Arabidopsis thaliana: one gene and its partners. The protein of the gene in region 1 interacts with the protein of each later gene in a pairwise test. Each region holds a gene or a part of one and is shown in the gene's direction. Other genes may lie near its edges.

What was found.
Region 2: the proteins of AT4G23050 (region 1) and PYL5 interact in a two-hybrid assay, tested with the Arabidopsis thaliana proteins (one large-scale study listed by BioGRID).
Region 3: the proteins of AT4G23050 (region 1) and AT4G22720 interact in a two-hybrid assay, tested with the Arabidopsis thaliana proteins (one large-scale study listed by BioGRID).
Region 4: the proteins of AT4G23050 (region 1) and BCAT-2 interact in a two-hybrid assay, tested with the Arabidopsis thaliana proteins (one large-scale study listed by BioGRID).

What each region holds. Positions count from the first base shown.
Region 1 is NC_003075.7:12,078,030-12,084,762, forward strand, and holds AT4G23050 (PAS domain-containing protein tyrosine kinase family protein), read left to right. Parts: upstream 1-2,030; 5' UTR 2,031-2,082; coding exon 2,083-2,429; intron 2,430-2,620; coding exon 2,621-3,053; intron 3,054-3,162; coding exon 3,163-3,288; intron 3,289-3,391; coding exon 3,392-3,914; intron 3,915-4,041; coding exon 4,042-4,082; intron 4,083-4,171; coding exon 4,172-4,240; intron 4,241-4,332; coding exon 4,333-4,433; intron 4,434-4,558; coding exon 4,559-4,637; intron 4,638-4,728; coding exon 4,729-4,827; intron 4,828-4,913; coding exon 4,914-4,982; intron 4,983-5,078; coding exon 5,079-5,128; intron 5,129-5,234; coding exon 5,235-5,316; intron 5,317-5,392; coding exon 5,393-5,487; intron 5,488-5,582; coding exon 5,583-5,679; 3' UTR 5,680-6,227; downstream 6,228-6,733. Other genes in the region: AT4G23040 (Ubiquitin-like superfamily protein), read right to left, coding at 510-593.
Region 2 is NC_003076.8:1,607,343-1,611,029, forward strand, and holds PYL5 (Polyketide cyclase/dehydrase and lipid transport superfamily protein), read left to right. Parts: upstream 1-1,645; 5' UTR 1,646-2,031; coding exon 2,032-2,643; 3' UTR 2,644-3,185; downstream 3,186-3,687. UniProt on the Arabidopsis thaliana protein: Receptor for abscisic acid (ABA) required for ABA-mediated responses such as stomatal closure and germination inhibition.
Region 3 is NC_003075.7:11,935,002-11,939,523, forward strand, and holds AT4G22720 (Actin-like ATPase superfamily protein), read left to right. Parts: upstream 1-1,940; 5' UTR 1,941-2,142; intron 2,143-2,439; 5' UTR 2,440-2,465; coding exon 2,466-3,023; intron 3,024-3,108; coding exon 3,109-3,264; intron 3,265-3,368; coding exon 3,369-3,716; 3' UTR 3,717-3,968; downstream 3,969-4,522. Other genes in the region: CYP706A2 (cytochrome P450, family 706, subfamily A, polypeptide 2), read left to right, coding at 37-1,617.
Region 4 is NC_003070.9:3,286,322-3,290,991, forward strand, and holds BCAT-2 (branched-chain amino acid transaminase 2), read left to right. Parts: upstream 1-1,765; 5' UTR 1,766-1,933; coding exon 1,934-1,999; exon of another isoform or gene 2,000-2,109; coding exon 2,110-2,183; intron 2,184-2,280; coding exon 2,281-2,458; intron 2,459-2,539; coding exon 2,540-2,716; intron 2,717-2,798; coding exon 2,799-2,930; intron 2,931-3,007; coding exon 3,008-3,106; intron 3,107-3,181; coding exon 3,182-3,298; intron 3,299-3,360; coding exon 3,361-3,456; intron 3,457-3,534; coding exon 3,535-3,647; intron 3,648-3,728; coding exon 3,729-3,843; 3' UTR 3,844-4,150; downstream 4,151-4,670. Other genes in the region: BCAT-1 (branched-chain amino acid transaminase 1), read left to right, coding at 1-78, 213-325, 402-516; AT1G10090 (Early-responsive to dehydration stress protein (ERD4)), read right to left, coding at 4,251-4,565, 4,655-4,670. UniProt on the Arabidopsis thaliana protein: Converts 2-oxo acids to branched-chain amino acids. Shows activity with L-Leu, L-Ile and L-Val as amino donors and 2-oxoglutarate as an amino acceptor, but no activity for D-isomers of Leu, Ile, Val, Asp, Glu or Ala.

The sequences.
Region 1 (6,733 bases):
TGCACAAAGGACACAATAAAAAGTTCTCTAAACCCAAACTAAAATTGTACACAAGATGAGTTCTGAAAAAAAATTCATTGACTTCAATAACTAACTTAAACCCCACATGAATATCTCTAAAATACCAAAAATCCAGACCAAAATCCAAAAAAGAACAAAACTTTTCACAACTAATTTCACAATGAGCAGGTATAAACTCGTTTAGATATCAATGAACAATTAACAAAACCAATAAGCATGAGAATTCTGTAAGAAGTCCACATAAAAACTCAATCAGATAATCGGATAAACTAAAATTCAACACAATTAACTCCAATTGCGACCTAAACGCATCAAGATGAGCTTAACAACGATATAACAAAAGCGTAGAGGAGATATAATTCGATGATCCAACGAACAACCACTTGAGCGATTCGAGAAACTTCCAAAAATACTTCAATCAAAAACAAAATAACATCTAAACAATAGAAGGAAGACGGAAAAAACCCAGGGAAGTGTAATTGAATCACCTCGAGCTTACGAACGGCGACGGCATTGGAAGAGCCGGTGATGGTCATGAAGGTGTCAATAGCTTCCTGAGTAGGTGTCGCCATTAGAAAAGAGAAAGCTTGAGAGAAGTTTTTCGTCGGAGATTTGTGTTTGGAGCTGGAGTGAAGGAGGAGGCAAGAATTAATATATGTTGTAAATCACAAAAATTGCAGTGAAGAAAGGAATTGGATCGGTGACTCTTAAGATTTTTAAAGCCTTTTTTAGGGTCTTTCTTCTTTTCCATTTTTTTTAATTCTCCTTTTTTATTTGGTGTGGATTTTCTTAAACTTTATTTTCTTTATTCTTTTTGTATATTTTCGGTGATATTCAAGATATTATTTTCAGAGAACTTGAGATAATATATGGAGTGTCCTAATCTGAATAACTAAATAAATAATTATTCAGTTGAAATTGGATTTTTTTTTTCAGAGTCTTTATATTTTATAAACTGGAATTCGAGTCAAATTCAGAGTGGATTAAACTTATCTTTTTAGTTTTTACTAGCCAAGAACTTTTTGACCTTTTTTTTTAACATGATATTAATTGTTATAGTGTATATACATTAAAAGTTAGATAATTTTTAATGTACAAAAAAAAAGTTACATAATTTATTTTTTTTCACACCAATTACATATTTTATTTGTCAATTTGACAGTAAATATGGAAATAAGCCTTAAAATGTAAAGGCTTTTCGGTCCAACAACGAAAAACCAAAACCAAACCCAAAACTAAAATATCCAAAGATATCCTCACTTTATGATCATCCCAATCTTCCCTCTATATAGTGCCTTTAAAGGAGCTGTCATGTTCTCTTTCGGCCGTTTGTAATATAAGAATTGTCGTTTTTGTCCAAAAAAAAGGGTTGGCTTTCAGTTTGTGTCCCAGAAACAAAGTAAATCTTTAGATAAATTGAAACAAAACTAGCTTTGTGACTCCAATTAAACTTTGCTTCCTCTAAGAAACCTTATGGAGAGTATTATTCTACAATGATTTGAAGTATACTACTAATAATTGATTACATTTAAATTCAACTATAATTTATTGTTATTGTTCTTCAATCAACTTGAACTTTGAGTTTATTGGGCACATTACTTTTAGAGGAATGTGAATGTGAACATTGAAGAGACGTGTATTTTATTTTCTTCTTGACAAATACCGTTGGAGGTATAAAAACACCATCAAACTCAGGCCCATTTGGCAATGGCGGCAACAAGAATGGGTATTATATTGAGGTTAATTTCGTCAATCACCACTTTTAAATCGTGACAAATTCGTCTATTATCTCTCAATCTTCTTCAACCTTCAATTACATCGGCAATTCTACAAGTGGCAGCATCCTATTAGTAACAAACACACGTGGCGTAAGCTAATGCGTCGTAGTGTTTATAATAGCTGGGGTTTGTTAATTATGGCGTCACGAGTGATTTAAGAAGCAGCTGAAAAATAATAAACAATGAGGGAATGCCAACGTTTTAAATTATATTTTTAATTTGTGAATTTTCATCAGAGTCGGATCTTGATGCGACTGCTCAAACAGAGTCACCGGCGATTACGATGGCCGGAAACAACTCGGAATCGAGTCTCTACCAGGTTTTGGTGGAGTGGTGTCAGAGGATGGAGACGAGTCAAGCGAGACTAAGGGAGGATGTTGATGACTTATTGCTTCAGGAGGAGAGTCGAACCGGTAAGGAATCGGCGACGGGATTGGAGACGGACACGGAGAAAGAGGCTGAGGTAGAGGTGGAAGCGGAGGCGGCGGATTCCTGGGATAATCCGACGGCGACTTGGGAGAGAGCTGTTTCAGGATTCTATTTCGCTGATAGTGCGTATCGGACTTTGATGGATTCAATGGGACACGCGATTCATGTAACATCAGCTGCGTCTGGAGAAATTACATTCTGGTGAGCTTGATAAGTTCTTCTTCTTCATCTATGGTGTTTGTAGATCAGGAGCTTATAGTTCTTCTAAGTACTGTTTCATTGAATTGTGTGTTTAAGTAGTTAAACAAAGTTATATATAGCGATTCATTGTATATGCAAGTGGACATTTACTATTTGTTTCTGAGTGGAGAGATTCTTTTATTATTATTCAGGAGTCGTTCTGCTGAGAATCTGTACCATTGGTATGCTGAGGAAGTTGTTGGCTACAGAACTATTGATGTGCTTGTAACCGAAGAATACCGTAATTCCCTTACTGGTATCAGGAATAGGGTGTGCCGTGGAGAGACTTGGACTGGTCAGTTTCCGTTTCAGAAGAAAACTGGTGAACTATTTATGGCTTTGGTGACTAAAAGCCCTGTGTATGAAAACGGTGAGCTGGTTGGTGTTGTTACTGTCTCGAGCGATGCAACCCTTTTCAATAGGATGCATCCACTAAGTAATGAGCATCAACAACAAGCTCGTAGTAATAATAGACATGAATCAAACTTGAGAAAACATCAGTGGCACCTCCCGAGGCCTCAGATCGCTGCAGCATCACAGGTTCCAGTTGTCCCACAATATTCATCAGCTGTTGCTTCAAACCTGGTAGATCTCACATCATGAATGTTCGAAGTTTCTCAGTACTTTTTTTTATATAATAATTCGTGTGCAACATGAATGATTGTTTGTTTTGCTGTTTTCTGCACAAACCAAGAAGGCGTCGAAGCTTCTACCACAGAGAAATGGAGATGATTCCTTCAATGGAAATCATAATTCGAGGAGCCGAGATGAAAATGTTCCGGTTGTTGCCTCCACAACTTTCGAGAAGTATGGCTCACTGGTAAGTCTTCGTTGGCTCCTTAAACAAGACACTTCTCATTGACATTTCTTAGAACGATTATTGTCTCATGTTATAAGCTAAATCTGCATATACACTAGTGTAGGCGGATAAGTTTTTGGGGAAGCTGCAAAGGAAGATTACTGGCAGCCAAGGAACCGAAGATAATGAGCCTATCTTAAGAAACGGTATCAATAAGTCAGCATGTGGCAGTGGAGGTAGTTCTAAGGCTTCTAATGCAGTTACCTGCACGGCTTTCAGAGACAATGGCAATGGAAAACCAAAAAGGGCTGAAGTTAGAATTTCAGATGTCTATGGAAATGGAGCTGAGGGTTTGATACATAATGGAGATCGCTTTCAGTATATTGGGAACCTGGGACAAAGTAAACCTCCCAGAGGACTAGAGAGTGGTTTGGTGTCTGGCATGCGGGGAACAAAAATGTCGGACCTAAATGGTGAGATAGAAGATGCTTGGAATACTCGTCTTAGTGTTGATCCCTTGCCAATTCTAGGAGTCAACAGCGGTAGGCAACAAAGTCCTGTCAACCAAAGGAATAATAGATTAGTTACTGATTCGTCATGTGAGATACGATGGGAAGATCTACAACTTGGGGAGGAGGTCGGAAGAGGTGTATTTCATTTACCAAAGTCTTACACTCGTTTTCACGTTTTAGATATGCAAATTCAATTCAGATCTGTGTCATTGCTGTTTAAATCAGATTACAAGTATTTCTGATGCGTTACATTTTCTCACAGGTTCATTTGCTGCGGTTCATCGTGGAGTTTGGAATGGATCGGTGAGTTTTCTGTAATTTAAGATAAAATAAGGATGATTCTAGTATTAGTTGCACATGGATAACTAACTAGTCCAATCTATTTGGACCAGGATGTTGCTATTAAGGTTTACTTCGATGGTGATTACAATGCGATGACTTTGACGGAGTGCAAAAAGGAGGTATGTATAATTAGTTCTCTCTGTTATGAATTGTTTCTAGAAGTTACTCGTACCAGACAAAATAAATCAGTTTTGATCAATAATATCTTCAGATCAACATTATGAAGAAACTGAGACATCCGAATGTGCTACTATTTATGGGAGCAGTATGTACAGAAGAAAAATCTGCCATAATCATGGAATATATGCCAAGGTGAGATTATTGACGTATGGATCTGGAAGTAGTGTTACTCCTTATCGAGTGTGTTATATTATGCTGCAAGAAATTGCAGATGAATACTCTGTGCTAAGTTATTTCTATACGGTTTTGATGATTAGAGGGAGTCTCTTCAAAATACTTCATAATACGAATCAGCCATTGGACAAGAAACGCCGTTTAAGAATGGCCCTTGATGTTGTAAGACTCTGATCTTCCAAAAACCTCCCTCACAATGAAAGAAAAAAATATGAAAGGCTGATTATATTCGGGTTCTCTGTTGTTGTTGCAGGCTAGGGGAATGAATTACTTACACCGCAGAAATCCGCCAATTGTACATAGAGACTTGAAATCTTCCAATCTACTCGTGGACAAGAACTGGAATGTCAAGGTACAAACAGTTTTCTCAAGTTACATTTATGAAGACTTGTAAAATGAGTTTACTATTGCATGGACTTTCAACTCTTTCTTCCCTAGGTTGGAGACTTTGGGTTATCAAAGTGGAAGAACGCAACCTTCTTGAGTACTAAATCCGGGAAAGGAACTGTAATGTTTAACAAAAGCCATTTCTGATTCTTTTAATCCACAAAACAGTCTTGGATTTCTGTTACTAAACATTGTTCAACTTTTTTCTATGTGCAGCCGCAGTGGATGGCTCCTGAAGTTCTCAGAAGTGAACCTTCGAATGAGAAGTACGTTGGATATAATATTAACCCTTTTTTGTTCTCTTTTCGAAGACATTATTCAATAACTTGAACATTTTTTTGGACTAAAAGCTCAATGCTTTCGTTGTAATAGGTGTGATGTGTTCAGCTTTGGAGTCATCTTATGGGAGCTAATGACTACGTTAGTACCATGGGACCGTTTGAACTCTATTCAGGTACCTCTCAAATTCTGTTCTTATGAGATTATAGCTTGATCATAAGATTGTAGTAATCTTAGCAACTTTAAATTAGGTTGTTGGAGTTGTTGGTTTCATGGATCGACGATTAGACTTACCTGAAGGATTAAATCCCCGGATCGCATCCATAATACAGGATTGTTGGCAAACGTAAGAAGACGCATCTGTAAATTGTTTCATCAAATACACCCTACAAACTTAGGGGCGATTTTTCTTATATTCTTTGTTCTAAATTGTTGAAACAGTGATCCAGCAAAACGACCGTCGTTCGAGGAATTAATTAGTCAGATGATGAGCCTGTTCCGCAAACCAGGGTCAGGTGCGCAAGAAGAAGACGATTGAGAAGGTAAACAGTACATGGTTAAAGGATAGTTCACAAAGCAAAGGACGTGAAAAGAAAACGAAAGCATCGTCCTGATCACTTACTATACAAATGTTTCATTGTGTTATACCAAACTACTATTTATGTTTTCATTGAAAGAAAGAAAGCAAAAATAGCTAAATCAAAGTAATATACAGTAGAATCTTAGGTTAGTTTAGTTAAACTATGCATTATATAAACTGTTGTCGGTTTATGAGCTAAGTTGTAAAATGGGATCTAAAAAGGCAGAGGCGCAGAGGCCAGAGGAGGACTCAGATGTAATTTAAGAAGTAAAAGGGTGAAAAAGAGAAATACGAGAAAAACTGTGAGATTGATGGTGTCTTGTAGTGAATTGTAATGTAGTTGGTTTTGGTTTGATGGGGTAAGAGAAGGAGGAGTGACAATTCGTAGGCATTGCTTCTTTTGCTTTAATATTCTCTTATTACAGCTTCCCATCACTGCGTCGTCTGTAGCTTCTCAGCACCTAATTATAAGAGAGAGTCAGAACCCTAAATAAAACTTTTTTTTCAATCCTTATTCGTAATTCCACATTACAGCATCTTGAAATTGACGCAGTCACAAAAGCATAATTAAAAAAAAAAGGATACAAAGATGGGTCTATTATACCGAGTATGTATTGTGCATGCATGTGACGTGGGTGAAGGGAACTTCTCTTATAGAAGTATTGAAAAAGGAGAAATTTTGGGGGATTGAAAATATTTGTCTGTTTGTCTGGTTAGGTCAGAACAAATCACATCGAGCTGCATAGTAATATTTCGTTTACAACACATGGTTGTGACCTCTAGACAAATAAACTTTTTAACAGTTTTCGCTGTTTTGCCTTGCATGTATTTCGTAGTATTTCAATTTATATGTAACTATATTTCAATTGAAACATCTTTACCATATTATTTTCTTTTTTGATGCCAATTTCTTTACCATGTGTTTGCTCTTGTGTTATTTATGTGTGATTGATTGATTGACCGTGTCGATTACCCAAGCGGAATCTTGTAAAGGGATACTCCGTCACCGTAA
Region 2 (3,687 bases), on another chromosome or scaffold:
TCTATGTACTTTCCATAGATCTTCCTTTGCAATCATTTAGTGGTGAACCTGATATGTTGTTATTTCCTGCAGCAAGTTTCCAACAGAGTAATATCATGTCTGACCGGAACCATACAACGGAACATTCCACATATCGTTTTACATTTCTATTGACCTTGACCTTTATGTTTTAATTTGTCAAGAAGTCTACTGCATTTCTATTCTCTCCTATCTCATTCCTCTTTATTTACTTGCTTTCACATGGTAAGGAATTGTGAATATATGGTCTCAGCCTCTCATGTTAGACATTTCTTCTATGATTCTCATTTTTTCTATTGTGAATAATTTTTTTTCCAGACAACTCTTTTAAAAGAGACTTACCATTGGACTATGAAAAATCTTTCAAAAAAATCAGAAGCTCTCATCTTACAAATTCAAAAGATTTATACTTAAAAAATGGTGAGATCCCATTAGGAGGCTCTCACCATTGGAGATGGTCTTATGAGTTCCGTGAAGCTCTCTCGTTATTCTTACAGGGCATGATTTCGTATAATATTTTTAAAAAAACAAACGATTGGGCCTTGAATTTTTAATTAGAAAGTTAAACAAAATCTAAAAACCCACATGTGGTCTCTTGTTTTTTTTGGTGTGATGGTCGAATATTTCTAAAAACCCACAAGATTTATTAACTAGTCTTACAAATTACGATTACATTTTTTTTTTACGTTTTATCTCATTGACAGGGTATAATTTATACCGTATAAATATTATTTTCTTGTAGATCAGTCTTTTCAAAAAATGTAGTGGGATTACTGAATGCATTCCTCTATAATTAATTACGACAATTATCATAGTTGGTTTAGAAAAAAATAGTAAAATTGCACGTTTGCATGCCTATACAATTCGAGTGTACATGAAACTTGATGTAGAGTACCATACCCATGTCGCAAAATATTATTATTTATTGAAAAAATTACAAAGTCGCGATGCAACAACCTTTGTACTATATGATGAGAATATAATATAAAAATGGGCAACAAGAACAAAAGAAAATAGAGAAAAAAAGGAAAGGATAATCTTCCACCTAAACAAGTCCAAAGAAGATTGCAAGTTGCAACATCCACTTGCTTCGTCCGGCGTAAGCTCTTTGATAAGGTCTCTCACCGTCCTCCGACTTTCTCTCTCCATACATACACCACATTTACATACGCCATTTACACATATATGACAAACCCATCAACATCTGTGCATGCACGTGTGCTCATGCATGTATGTAGTTTTTACTTCGCCATGATGACCATGTCTATCTTAAAATTTACCACAATCAATCAATCATGCGCGTTACAGTCGTGTGATATTCAAAAATTGTACATGTTATTTCTCATAACTATCACTTTAGTAGATTAAGATCAGAATGTGCATATAATAAGTAAATTTTAACAATAACAGCAACATATTTTACTATAACTAATGATTTATTTAAAAAAAAAAGATAAAACTAATTCTGAAATTTCAGTTTTTTCTATGAACAATTTATTAACAGTATTCATATGTAGATAAACCTTGTAGATTCTATAATATAAAATTTATCAAGATGGAAATGAGGGATCTATAGAATACAATTAATTTTGGTGATATATATTCAAGATAATGAAGGAGGCGTCTGAGGAAAGAAATCATGGGGGCATAAGATGGTACAATGTATCATACATGGTCACACACATCTATATGATACAAATGCGTCTATATACACAACTGTTTCTATATACATACAAACACAAAGCCTTCACATCCCCAGCTATCTCTATCCATCTATCTTCAAATATATATTTTTAAAAACACACAATGTTCATATCTTATTGTTATTGTTATAAAATAAAAGATGATCATACTTTTTAAATTTCTCAAACAAAACCAACTTGACAACCGACAGCGAACAAGATCAAAAAGCTAGCTCTCTTCTTTTCTCATCAAACTTATTTCTCTCTCGATCGCAATATATACGATTCCATAAATTCTCCCAAAAACAAATTAAGAGATAGAGGAGAGATCATGAGGTCACCGGTGCAACTCCAACACGGCTCAGACGCCACTAACGGTTTCCACACGCTGCAGCCTCACGATCAGACCGATGGTCCGATCAAGAGAGTGTGTCTCACGCGCGGTATGCATGTCCCTGAACACGTTGCGATGCACCACACACACGACGTTGGTCCGGACCAGTGTTGCTCCTCGGTGGTGCAGATGATCCACGCGCCGCCTGAGTCCGTGTGGGCTCTTGTGCGGCGTTTCGATAATCCGAAGGTTTACAAGAACTTCATCAGACAGTGCCGTATCGTCCAAGGCGATGGACTACACGTCGGCGATCTCCGGGAGGTCATGGTGGTCTCTGGACTCCCGGCGGTCTCGAGCACCGAGAGGCTCGAGATCTTGGACGAGGAGCGTCACGTGATAAGCTTTAGTGTCGTTGGTGGGGACCACAGGCTCAAGAACTACCGATCGGTGACGACACTACACGCGTCGGACGACGAAGGTACCGTGGTGGTGGAGTCTTACATCGTTGATGTGCCGCCGGGAAACACGGAGGAGGAAACTCTAAGCTTCGTTGATACTATCGTCCGGTGCAACCTTCAGTCTCTGGCTCGAAGTACCAACCGGCAATAATCTCATCTTTCTTATATAAATTGCAATTATGTATCTAATTTTTTTTGTTGTTCTATTTCTTTTAGATGTTCGATCTTCTTTACAAGGAAGAAAATTTCGAGTACCTTTTCTTTCTTTTTAAATAGATATATCGGCTTAGAAAGAATTGTAATTTAATGGGGATTTCTTTGGGAGATTTATGTTGGAAATTTCGAAGTACTGTTGGGGGATTCACAAAACTTTGGATTTGGAGGGTGTTAGTACTGGTACATAAAACATTTTAAGGTGAATCTGTTAAATGAATTAATCCATTTGTTGTTTTGTACATGGTATCATTCTTTGTGACATTGTTTAATTTCTTGTACTCTTTTAAATGTTACTCTTAACCGTTTTTTTCTTTTGTGGTTTGTAAATGAATATTTGATGCATCGGTATTGTTAATGATAGACTTATTAATTTATTTCTTCATAGTATGTAACATTACTATAAGTTTGTTTTTTGTTGGTTGATCCTTGTGTCCAAATGTTCTAAATAGAAAATATAATACAAAGCCGATATTCTGATCTAAGAATCAATTAGAATGAAGCCAATAACTGTTCCACTGTCTATAATATTACCAGAGAGATAAAAGTTCAGAAATAAAAAAACTCCAATTCGTTTAACTTTAAGATTTATCGTCATCATGGATCATATTAAGGGAACATCAAATTACCTTTAAGTATTGAGTATATATATTCGAATTATCTGTCTATTACACATAATATTCTCGGGACGTAACAATTTATTAGAAGGTACTATATGTAGATGGAACTGCGTGTTAACTAAGAGGGAAATTATAAACCAGGTTATGGAATTTAAACCTGATTAGCATGTGCATTTACATAAAACATATATATTAGACCTAAAGCAAAAGTAGACGTGCTTAAACTATTACCAACTAGTCTTTCATTGGCTACTAGTCTGGTCAAGTGGAGATTATCATTTTTTATTCCCGTTTGTTTTGTTAATAAATTATAACCAACCAACCTAGTGGGTTATATTTAATTCAAATATAAGTTTTTGGTC
Region 3 (4,522 bases), 140 kb from region 1:
CAAGAACCACAGTGAGATCTTTCTCAGAAGACAAAAATGGGAACAGCGTCGTCTAAGTCTAACATCAACCTCTCGCAGGTCCTCAACACTGAGGAGCCGTACAGCTCCGTGATGCTGGCCGTCGCTGCTCTCTTGGCCGTTGTATGCTACTTATGGATTCAGGGGAAGTCCAAGTCCAAAAAGGAACCTCCACTGCCTCCGGGACCTTGGCCACTTCCTATCGTCGGAAACCTCCCGTTCCTAAACTCTGACGTCCTCCACACGCAATTCCAAGCCCTAACCCTAAAATATGGCCCTCTCATGAAGATCCACCTCGGTTCCAAACTTGCGATCGTCGTCTCTTCCCCTGACATGGCTCGCGAGGTTCTCAAAACCCACGACATCACTTTCGCCAACCACGATCTCCCTGAAGTCGGAAAGATCAACACTTACGGTGGTGAAGACATCCTCTGGTCTCCTTACGGTACCCATTGGAGGAGACTTCGTAAGCTCTGCGTCATGAAGATGTTCACTACCCCAAGTCTCGAAGCTTCCTACTCCACTCGCCGGGAAGAAACCCGACAAACCATTGTCCACATGTCGGAAATGGCTCGTGAAGGATCACCAGTCAACCTCGGAGAGCAAATATTTCTTTCCATTTTCAACGTCGTGACAAGAATGATGTGGGGCGCCACTGTTGAAGGAGACGAGAGAACGAGCTTAGGAAACGAGCTCAAAACCCTAATATCTGATATCTCCGACATAGAAGGGATTCAAAACTACTCAGATTTCTTTCCGTTGTTCTCAAGATTCGATTTCCAAGGATTGGTTAAGCAGATGAAAGGCCATGTGAAGAAGCTTGATCTCTTGTTCGATAGAGTTATGGAGAGTCACGTCAAAATGGTGGGAAAGAAGAGCGAAGAAGAAGAAGATTTCTTGCAATACTTACTTAGAGTTAAAGATGATGATGAGAAAGCTCCTCTGTCCATGACTCATGTCAAGTCTCTCCTCATGGATATGGTTCTTGGTGGTGTCGACACATCGGTTAACGCATCCGAATTCGCCATGGCAGAGATTGTGAGCAGACCGGAAGTGTTAAACAAGATCCGACTAGAACTTGACCAAGTTGTTGGCAAAGACAACATCGTTGAGGAATCACATTTACCTAAGCTTCCTTACCTACAAGCGGTTATGAAAGAGACTCTTAGGCTTCACCCTACGCTTCCTCTTCTTGTTCCTCACAGAAACAGCGAAACCTCGGTGGTTGCGGGATACACTGTGCCTAAAGACTCCAAGATTTTCATCAACGTTTGGGCGATTCATAGAGATCCTAAGAATTGGGATGAACCAAACGAGTTCAAACCTGAGAGGTTTTTGGAGAATTCGCTTGATTTCAATGGAGGTGATTTTAAGTATTTGCCTTTTGGGTCAGGAAGGAGGATTTGTGCGGCGATAAACATGGCTGAGAGACTTGTTCTGTTCAACATTGCTTCACTTCTTCACTCTTTTGATTGGAAAGCTCCTCAAGGACAGAAGTTTGAGGTTGAAGAGAAGTTTGGTCTTGTTCTTAAGTTGAAGTCTCCACTTGTGGCTATTCCTGTTCCAAGGTTGTCCGATCCAAAACTCTACACAGCTTAAGTAAGAAGGATGTTGAATTGAGTTTTCTTGTTTAAAGTTTACTTTTCTTTATCTGTGTCTGGAGTTTTGATGCTTTGTATAAAAGATGTGTCAAGTTACATTTTTGATAACATTTAATATAACAAAGTTTTACTTACAATAATAACGCCTAATAGTCGATGCCAAAGCTATAAAACTATATTGTAGTTATATTTTTGGCAAGTCGATTAAAATTCTTGGGTCAACAAATTACAAATTAGTATGAAGGTTACAAATTAAAATTGTAATTATTTAAATTAATTAATGTATAATTATATCACAAATACTTCACGTCACACTAAATGAGTCCTTCTTAGCGGCAAAATATGCGTTATTGGGCTAGGCCCATTTATAAACGACGCCGTTTACACAGTCTAGAAACTCAACATCGTCGTTTCTCTCCCGGCGACTTTATCGCCGTCTTTTTCTTCTTTAAACTCTCTGGCTAATTTCGTTTTGCTTTGAGCTTGTGAGCTACTTCTGATTCCGGCCATCACGCAGCTTCAGGTTAGTTTTTGATTTAAATCAAACAACAGTACATGGGTTCAGTGTGTTGTGTCTCGAATGGAATTGGTTTCTGTGTTTAGATTAGGGTTTAGGGCTCTTTCATCTAAGGAAACGAAACCTAGGTTATACGAATCTCTTTGTTGGGTCTCTCTCAATACCAATACCAATCAACGAAAGGATTAATTTTGTTCATCATCTTCAACGTCTAAGGCTATAATTTGTGTTAGTTCAAATTGATTCAGAATAAAGTTTGGATTTTTACTTCACCTAGTCCTGAATTTGTTGTTCTCTGTGTAGAAAGTTTCTGTTTTTAAATCAAAGAAATGAAGAAGAAGATGATAGCCATTGGTTTCGAAGGATCAGCTAACAAGATTGGAGTTGGAATTGTGACTTTAGACGGTACTATCTTAGCAAATCCTCGGCATACGTATATAACACCACCTGGTCATGGTTTTCTTCCTAGAGAGACTGCACATCACCATCTTGACCATGTTCTTCCTTTAGTCAAATCAGCTTTAGAGACTTCTCAAGTTACTCCTGAAGAAATCGACTGTATTTGTTATACGAAAGGTCCCGGGATGGGAGCGCCGTTGCAGGTTTCAGCCATTGTTGTTAGAGTATTGTCACAGCTTTGGAAAAAGCCAATTGTTGCTGTGAATCATTGTGTGGCTCACATTGAGATGGGGAGAGTAGTTACTGGAGCTGATGATCCTGTTGTGTTGTATGTGAGTGGTGGTAACACTCAGGTGATTGCTTATAGTGAAGGTAGGTACCGGATTTTTGGTGAGACTATTGATATTGCTGTTGGTAATTGTTTGGATCGGTTTGCTAGAGTCTTGAAGCTTTCTAATGATCCAAGCCCTGGTTATAACATTGAACAGGTAGATTTCATTTGAAAGTAAAGTAAATTTGAATTCTTGAAAGATTCAAGAACAATGTTAACACGGTTTTTGGTGTTGTTACTAGCTTGCTAAGAAAGGAGAAAACTTTATTGATCTTCCGTATGCTGTTAAAGGTATGGATGTATCGTTCAGCGGAATCTTGAGTTATATCGAAACTACTGCAGAGGAGAAGCTCAAGAATAACGAGTGTACACCAGCAGACTTGTGTTATTCCCTTCAAGTAAGGCTATCACTTGGTTCTTAACTGATGAATTTTGTCACATGAATGCAAATTTTGGACTGTTTAAGAGTAATATCATGAATTCATGTTTGTTGATCTTGCAGGAGACGGTGTTTGCGATGTTGGTTGAGATCACAGAAAGAGCGATGGCGCATTGTGACAAGAAAGACGTTTTGATAGTTGGCGGTGTTGGGTGTAACGAGCGTTTGCAGGAAATGATGAGGACTATGTGCTCAGAACGTGATGGTAAGCTGTTTGCAACAGATGACCGTTACTGCATCGATAATGGAGCTATGATCGCTTACACAGGTCTACTCGCGTTTGTTAATGGTATTGAAACACCGATCGAAGACTCTACCTTTACACAACGATTTCGCACAGACGAGGTTCATGCGGTGTGGCGAGAGAAAGAAGCTGTACTACTTGGGGATAAGAAAGTTGCAGCGAATTGAGTCTGTCCCCATTTTTGTTCATTTTTCATCAAATTTGAGATTGAATCTCTCTCTACTCGATAAATTGGTTTTTGCTAAGTAGTTAAGACTTTTAAATGTGTTTTATTAGCCAAATTATATGATTGATATCTTTTGGTTTGAATGTAATAACACTTTCAAATTTCAAAGTGAGCTTTGTAAAAAGTTCAAATGTTTCTTGTGTTGCATTTCGCTATTTGTTTTATTGCTTTAATAAAAATATGATATCTCAAAGTCGACATTTCTACCGAGAATGGTGGAGAGATTAGTGCATTAGTCTTCCTTAATCATACAAAAACAACTGTGAAAATACAGCACTACTAAAAAGTAAAAAGTAAGAACTTTTTAATGTAGAACGTATGAGATGGTTCAATTAATCACAAGACACTTCTATGGCATTGCGTATTAAACGAAAAGTGAGTAAATAGAATTTATACATAATGATCTAATCTTGATCTTGCTAATAAAAATTGTAAAGGCAACAACAAGTTGTCAAAAATTTCAATTTGACGTAGAGATAAATTCTATCTAATAATTTTGTAAAAACATTCGAGATATAGTGTATCATTTTTCCATCATCTAGAACTCATTTGCGTATTTTCAAGTGTAAATCAGAACCTTGACACATAGGCTACACAAATTTTGGTCGATATTTATATTACTTTTGTAGCATAATGTGGATATCCTTCTAGAGACTAGAGTTCTAGATAAAACATTCATACATGTAACTATGTAAGTAAGCATGCATACTAAATATAAAATTTTCAAAAGTTTTAAAAGACATCATA
Region 4 (4,670 bases), on another chromosome or scaffold:
CCAGCTACGAGCGGAACGATTCTCGGAGGGATCACACGTAAGAGCATAATCGAAATCGCCCTTGATCTTGGTTACAAAGTTAGTAGTTATTCCACGTCTTTTTTCTTCTAACACCGTTTCCAATCTTGAGTCAAAAAACAGAGCAATACTCTGTTTCAAAATAGGAATACTTTTGATGCATGGAAGTTTTGATAAGTGTGTAATGGACTCAGGTGGAAGAACGAAGTGTTCCGGTAGAAGAACTGAAGGAAGCTGAAGAAGTTTTCTGCACTGGAACTGCCGCTGGAGTTGCTTCTGTTGGAAGCATCACTTTTAAGAACACAAGGTCTCTTCTTCCTCTCTGGATACATGTATACATATGCTTAGAATTTTACATTTATCTGTTGATAAATAATCTGCAGGACTGAGTACAAAGTTGGAGATGGGATTGTTACACAGCAACTTCGATCTATTCTTGTCGGAATACAAACTGGTTCTATCCAAGACACTAAAGATTGGGTTTTGCAGATTGCCTAAGTTACTTTCATATCCTATAAATAATGTTGCACTCTCTTGATCACCCATCAAAAGCTTTTGAAATAGTTTTTGGTAAATTTGTGACATAAATTTGTGATATATCACCACATCGTATTAGTATTAAACATTTGTTTCACTCTTCCAAAGAGACAAAAGCAAAACTAAAGACCTTCAACTTCAAGGTCAGGATATGTAATCTAATGGTTTGTCTTTGTGGCATTTTGCCACCATTGGTTCAAAATACCATTGCTGTATGATCAGCCTCCTCAGATTCTATTTGCCAGACTCTACGGCGGTATATTCGCTTTTAGAAAAAAAACAATTTTGTCGAAACTTTTTTTTTTTTGTAAATATTGTAGATTCCACACACAAGACTGTCTAAGATTCTTTGATAAGACACGACAAATGCGATTTAAGATTTTTCAAAGAAATGAGGTTCGTTGATTGTTCCACTAGGTTTGGTATATTTATAATTTGAATTTTTTTTTTTAAAGATATTTATAAGAAAACGAAGGAGTGTGCTCGCGTCAAGTGTGTACTAATAGTCGATGACACTAGTGATACGACGATACTGGAAAGGGACATCAATATTCATTAGTAAGCCATCTTAGCAAAAACGTTGTTATCAGATAAGAAAAGTTCTCAGACTGACGTGGCTGTCAATCTCCACAACGTGTTTATCTCCCATTTGGGTAGTTACGGACAAAGACGTTGAAAAGACAACAATATGGTCTAAAAGATTGACATGGAAAGAAAATTGTTTATCCGACAAAGACCTCTTGGTCCAACGTGGCTTTCACATCACTAGTTTACTATTTCACATCTCATGGAAAATTACTGAAATTAGTACTTGTCTGTATTTTGTTTTTTCGTCAAGTATTTGTTTGTATACTTTAGGTAATTGCGTGCCGAAGAAACATTGCTAAATTGATATTTATACCAACTTACAATAGTTTACAGTTCAAAAATAGAAATCTCCATTTTGAAGATACACCACTAATTTTCTTCATTTATTTACCCCATAAGAGAACGAGAAAAGAACAATAGTCCGTTGATTTCGTTAAAATCTAGTTTCAGAAAGACACGTCTAGATCTGTCTGATCAGGGCAGATAGACACAAGTGACGAAGCAAAAGAAACACAAAAATAAGATAAGAACTCTTACCACTAAAAGATAAAAATAAGAAAAAAAATAAAACAAATTCAACGATTTGCCAAGATAAAAGCAGACACTGTACATAAGCTCCGCATTCACTTACGTGTTGGATACTTAATTTGACACTCTTCTTTGTGTTTTCTCTTCCACCTTCTTTTTCGGTATATCATTCAACAAAATTCTCTCTTCATTTCTTTATTTTGTTGTTTTTTTTATTATTATTGAAATCAAGAGAATTAAAACAGAGGCTCTGCAAAAGAAGATGATCAAAACAATCACATCTCTACGCAAAACTCTGGTTCTACCTCTTCATTTACATATTCGTACGGTATAAACTGGATTCTTACAATCTAATGATGATTACTTACTTAGAGACATAACTCGGATCTCAGATACAAACATGTTTTATGTTCTGTTTTTTTTGTCCTGATGAAATAGCTACAAACTTTCGCCAAGTACAACGCACAAGCTGCATCGGCTTTGCGAGAAGAGCGTAAGAAACCTCTTTATCAGTAAGTTCTCTTTTTCATGATCCAGCCAGGTCATATAGATATTTTGTTACCATTGGAAAAAGCTCTGTTTCAAATTTGTTGTAATTGTATCATATAGAAATGGAGATGATGTATATGCGGATTTGGATTGGGATAATCTCGGGTTTGGTCTAAATCCAGCTGATTACATGTATGTCATGAAATGCTCAAAAGACGGCGAATTCACTCAAGGAGAACTTAGTCCCTATGGGAATATTCAGCTAAGTCCTTCTGCTGGAGTCTTAAACTATGGACAGGCAAGGATCTCGTAACCCCCAAATGTTTCTTGATTTGTTTCTCAACTGTATGATCAATAGAGGTTTTGGGATTCTTTGCAGGCGATATACGAAGGTACAAAAGCATACAGGAAAGAAAATGGGAAGCTTCTTTTGTTTCGTCCGGATCACAACGCTATCCGGATGAAGCTTGGCGCTGAACGGATGCTCATGCCTTCTCCTTCGGTTGATCAGTTTGTTAATGCAGTTAAACAAACCGCTCTTGCAAACAAACGTTGGGTAAAAACGCTTTCTTGTGACGTATATTTCTTCTGAAGAGGTTTGTTTTTGGGATCTGATAAGTGATGATGTGTTTGTTCAGGTTCCTCCTGCAGGGAAAGGGACTTTGTACATTAGGCCTTTGTTGATGGGAAGTGGTCCAATACTTGGTTTAGGTCCTGCACCTGAATATACATTCATTGTCTATGCATCTCCAGTTGGTAACTACTTCAAGGTATATACAATACTCTTGCATGTCCATGCTTTTTGGCGATGGAACGATTAGCAAATGTTTTGTTCACTGATTTGTAGGAAGGGATGGCTGCTCTTAACCTCTATGTTGAGGAAGAATATGTCCGAGCGGCTCCTGGTGGAGCTGGAGGCGTCAAGAGCATCACAAATTATGCGCCAGTAAGTGTTGAAACCAACTTAGTTTCTCAAAGACCAGAGTCAGAAAAAGAGTTTTGATAAACCACGTGTTTGTAGGTTTTGAAAGCACTGAGCAGAGCCAAGAGTCGGGGGTTTTCAGACGTTCTTTATCTCGACTCTGTCAAGAAGAAGTACTTAGAGGAGGCTTCTTCTTGCAACGTCTTTGTTGTCAAGGTAAGATATATTGTGGTGTCTCCATGTCTCTTTGTTGCATCCTAATTGTATCATTGATTCAGGGTCGGACAATCTCAACTCCTGCAACTAATGGAACAATTCTTGAAGGGATTACGCGGAAAAGTGTGATGGAGATCGCAAGTGATCAAGGTTATCAGGTAACACAGATAAGATTGAATCACTCTAAACACCCAAAAACTAAACTCAGCTAAGTTTCACACCTGAGTTATGATCAGGTAGTAGAGAAGGCAGTTCATGTGGATGAAGTAATGGATGCAGATGAAGTTTTTTGCACCGGAACTGCTGTAGTAGTTGCTCCCGTGGGCACTATCACATATCAGGAAAAAAGGTAAATCTCAATGCCTGAATCAAGTTTTACTCAAGCCTTAAGCAAAGAAATGGACTGATGTAATCTTTCTGAAACATTCAGAGTAGAGTATAAAACCGGGGATGAATCTGTCTGCCAGAAACTGCGTTCAGTCCTCGTAGGTATCCAGACAGGATTGATTGAAGATAACAAGGGATGGGTCACAGATATCAACTGAAGAATAACAATCTTCAATATTTTGCCACAAAGGAGATTACTCTGCATTTTAAGCTGTGTATACACGACAATGAAGAACACTATAAACATATATATGAGATAGAAACAGAAAGCTCTTTTGCTCATTTCTATATCGTAAAGTCAATGTCTTTCACAAAACTATGACAAAGAAAAGAATCGTCTATTGTACTTGTAGACAAGTGTTTCCAAGGATAGTTTCATTTCCTCCTGCAGTAACTCCAAATTTACATTTCATTTTAGGAGGCAAAACTGTATATACGTTTCAATGGCTTTCCCCACTTCTTACTTTCATCACCCATAAGGGTTTCAACTACTAAAATTGTAACTCAACTGCAAAAACACCTTTTCATCTGCAGAGTTATAAAGTATACATTGTAACTCAAGTATCTATGTTCGTTTGTAGATCTCGGCAAACCCTGGGGAATTACGAATTGGGGAAGCACTGGGACAGGATTTCACCTCAAGATCAAGACCAGATTTACTTCTCTGGAACTCCCATATGTAATCAGCTTTAAGATTCTCTTTCTCAGGCTTCAACTCTTCAGAATCTGGTAACTCCTGATCTGAGCAAGGAGAAGTGCAACCAGCTTTGCTGGATTCTTCAGAACACGTTGGTATCTGAGAGTATGCAACTTTCAAGTTGTTATGTATCTCTTCCATCTTTCCTGTCATCTCATCTGCTCTGTCCATAGCGATAAGAATCTGAAAGAAACTCATACATCAATATCTCTCAGGAGATGCAAATCGAGGTTATGAAAAGATGAGTAATATATATATATATGTATATATACCTCGGCTGGATATTTC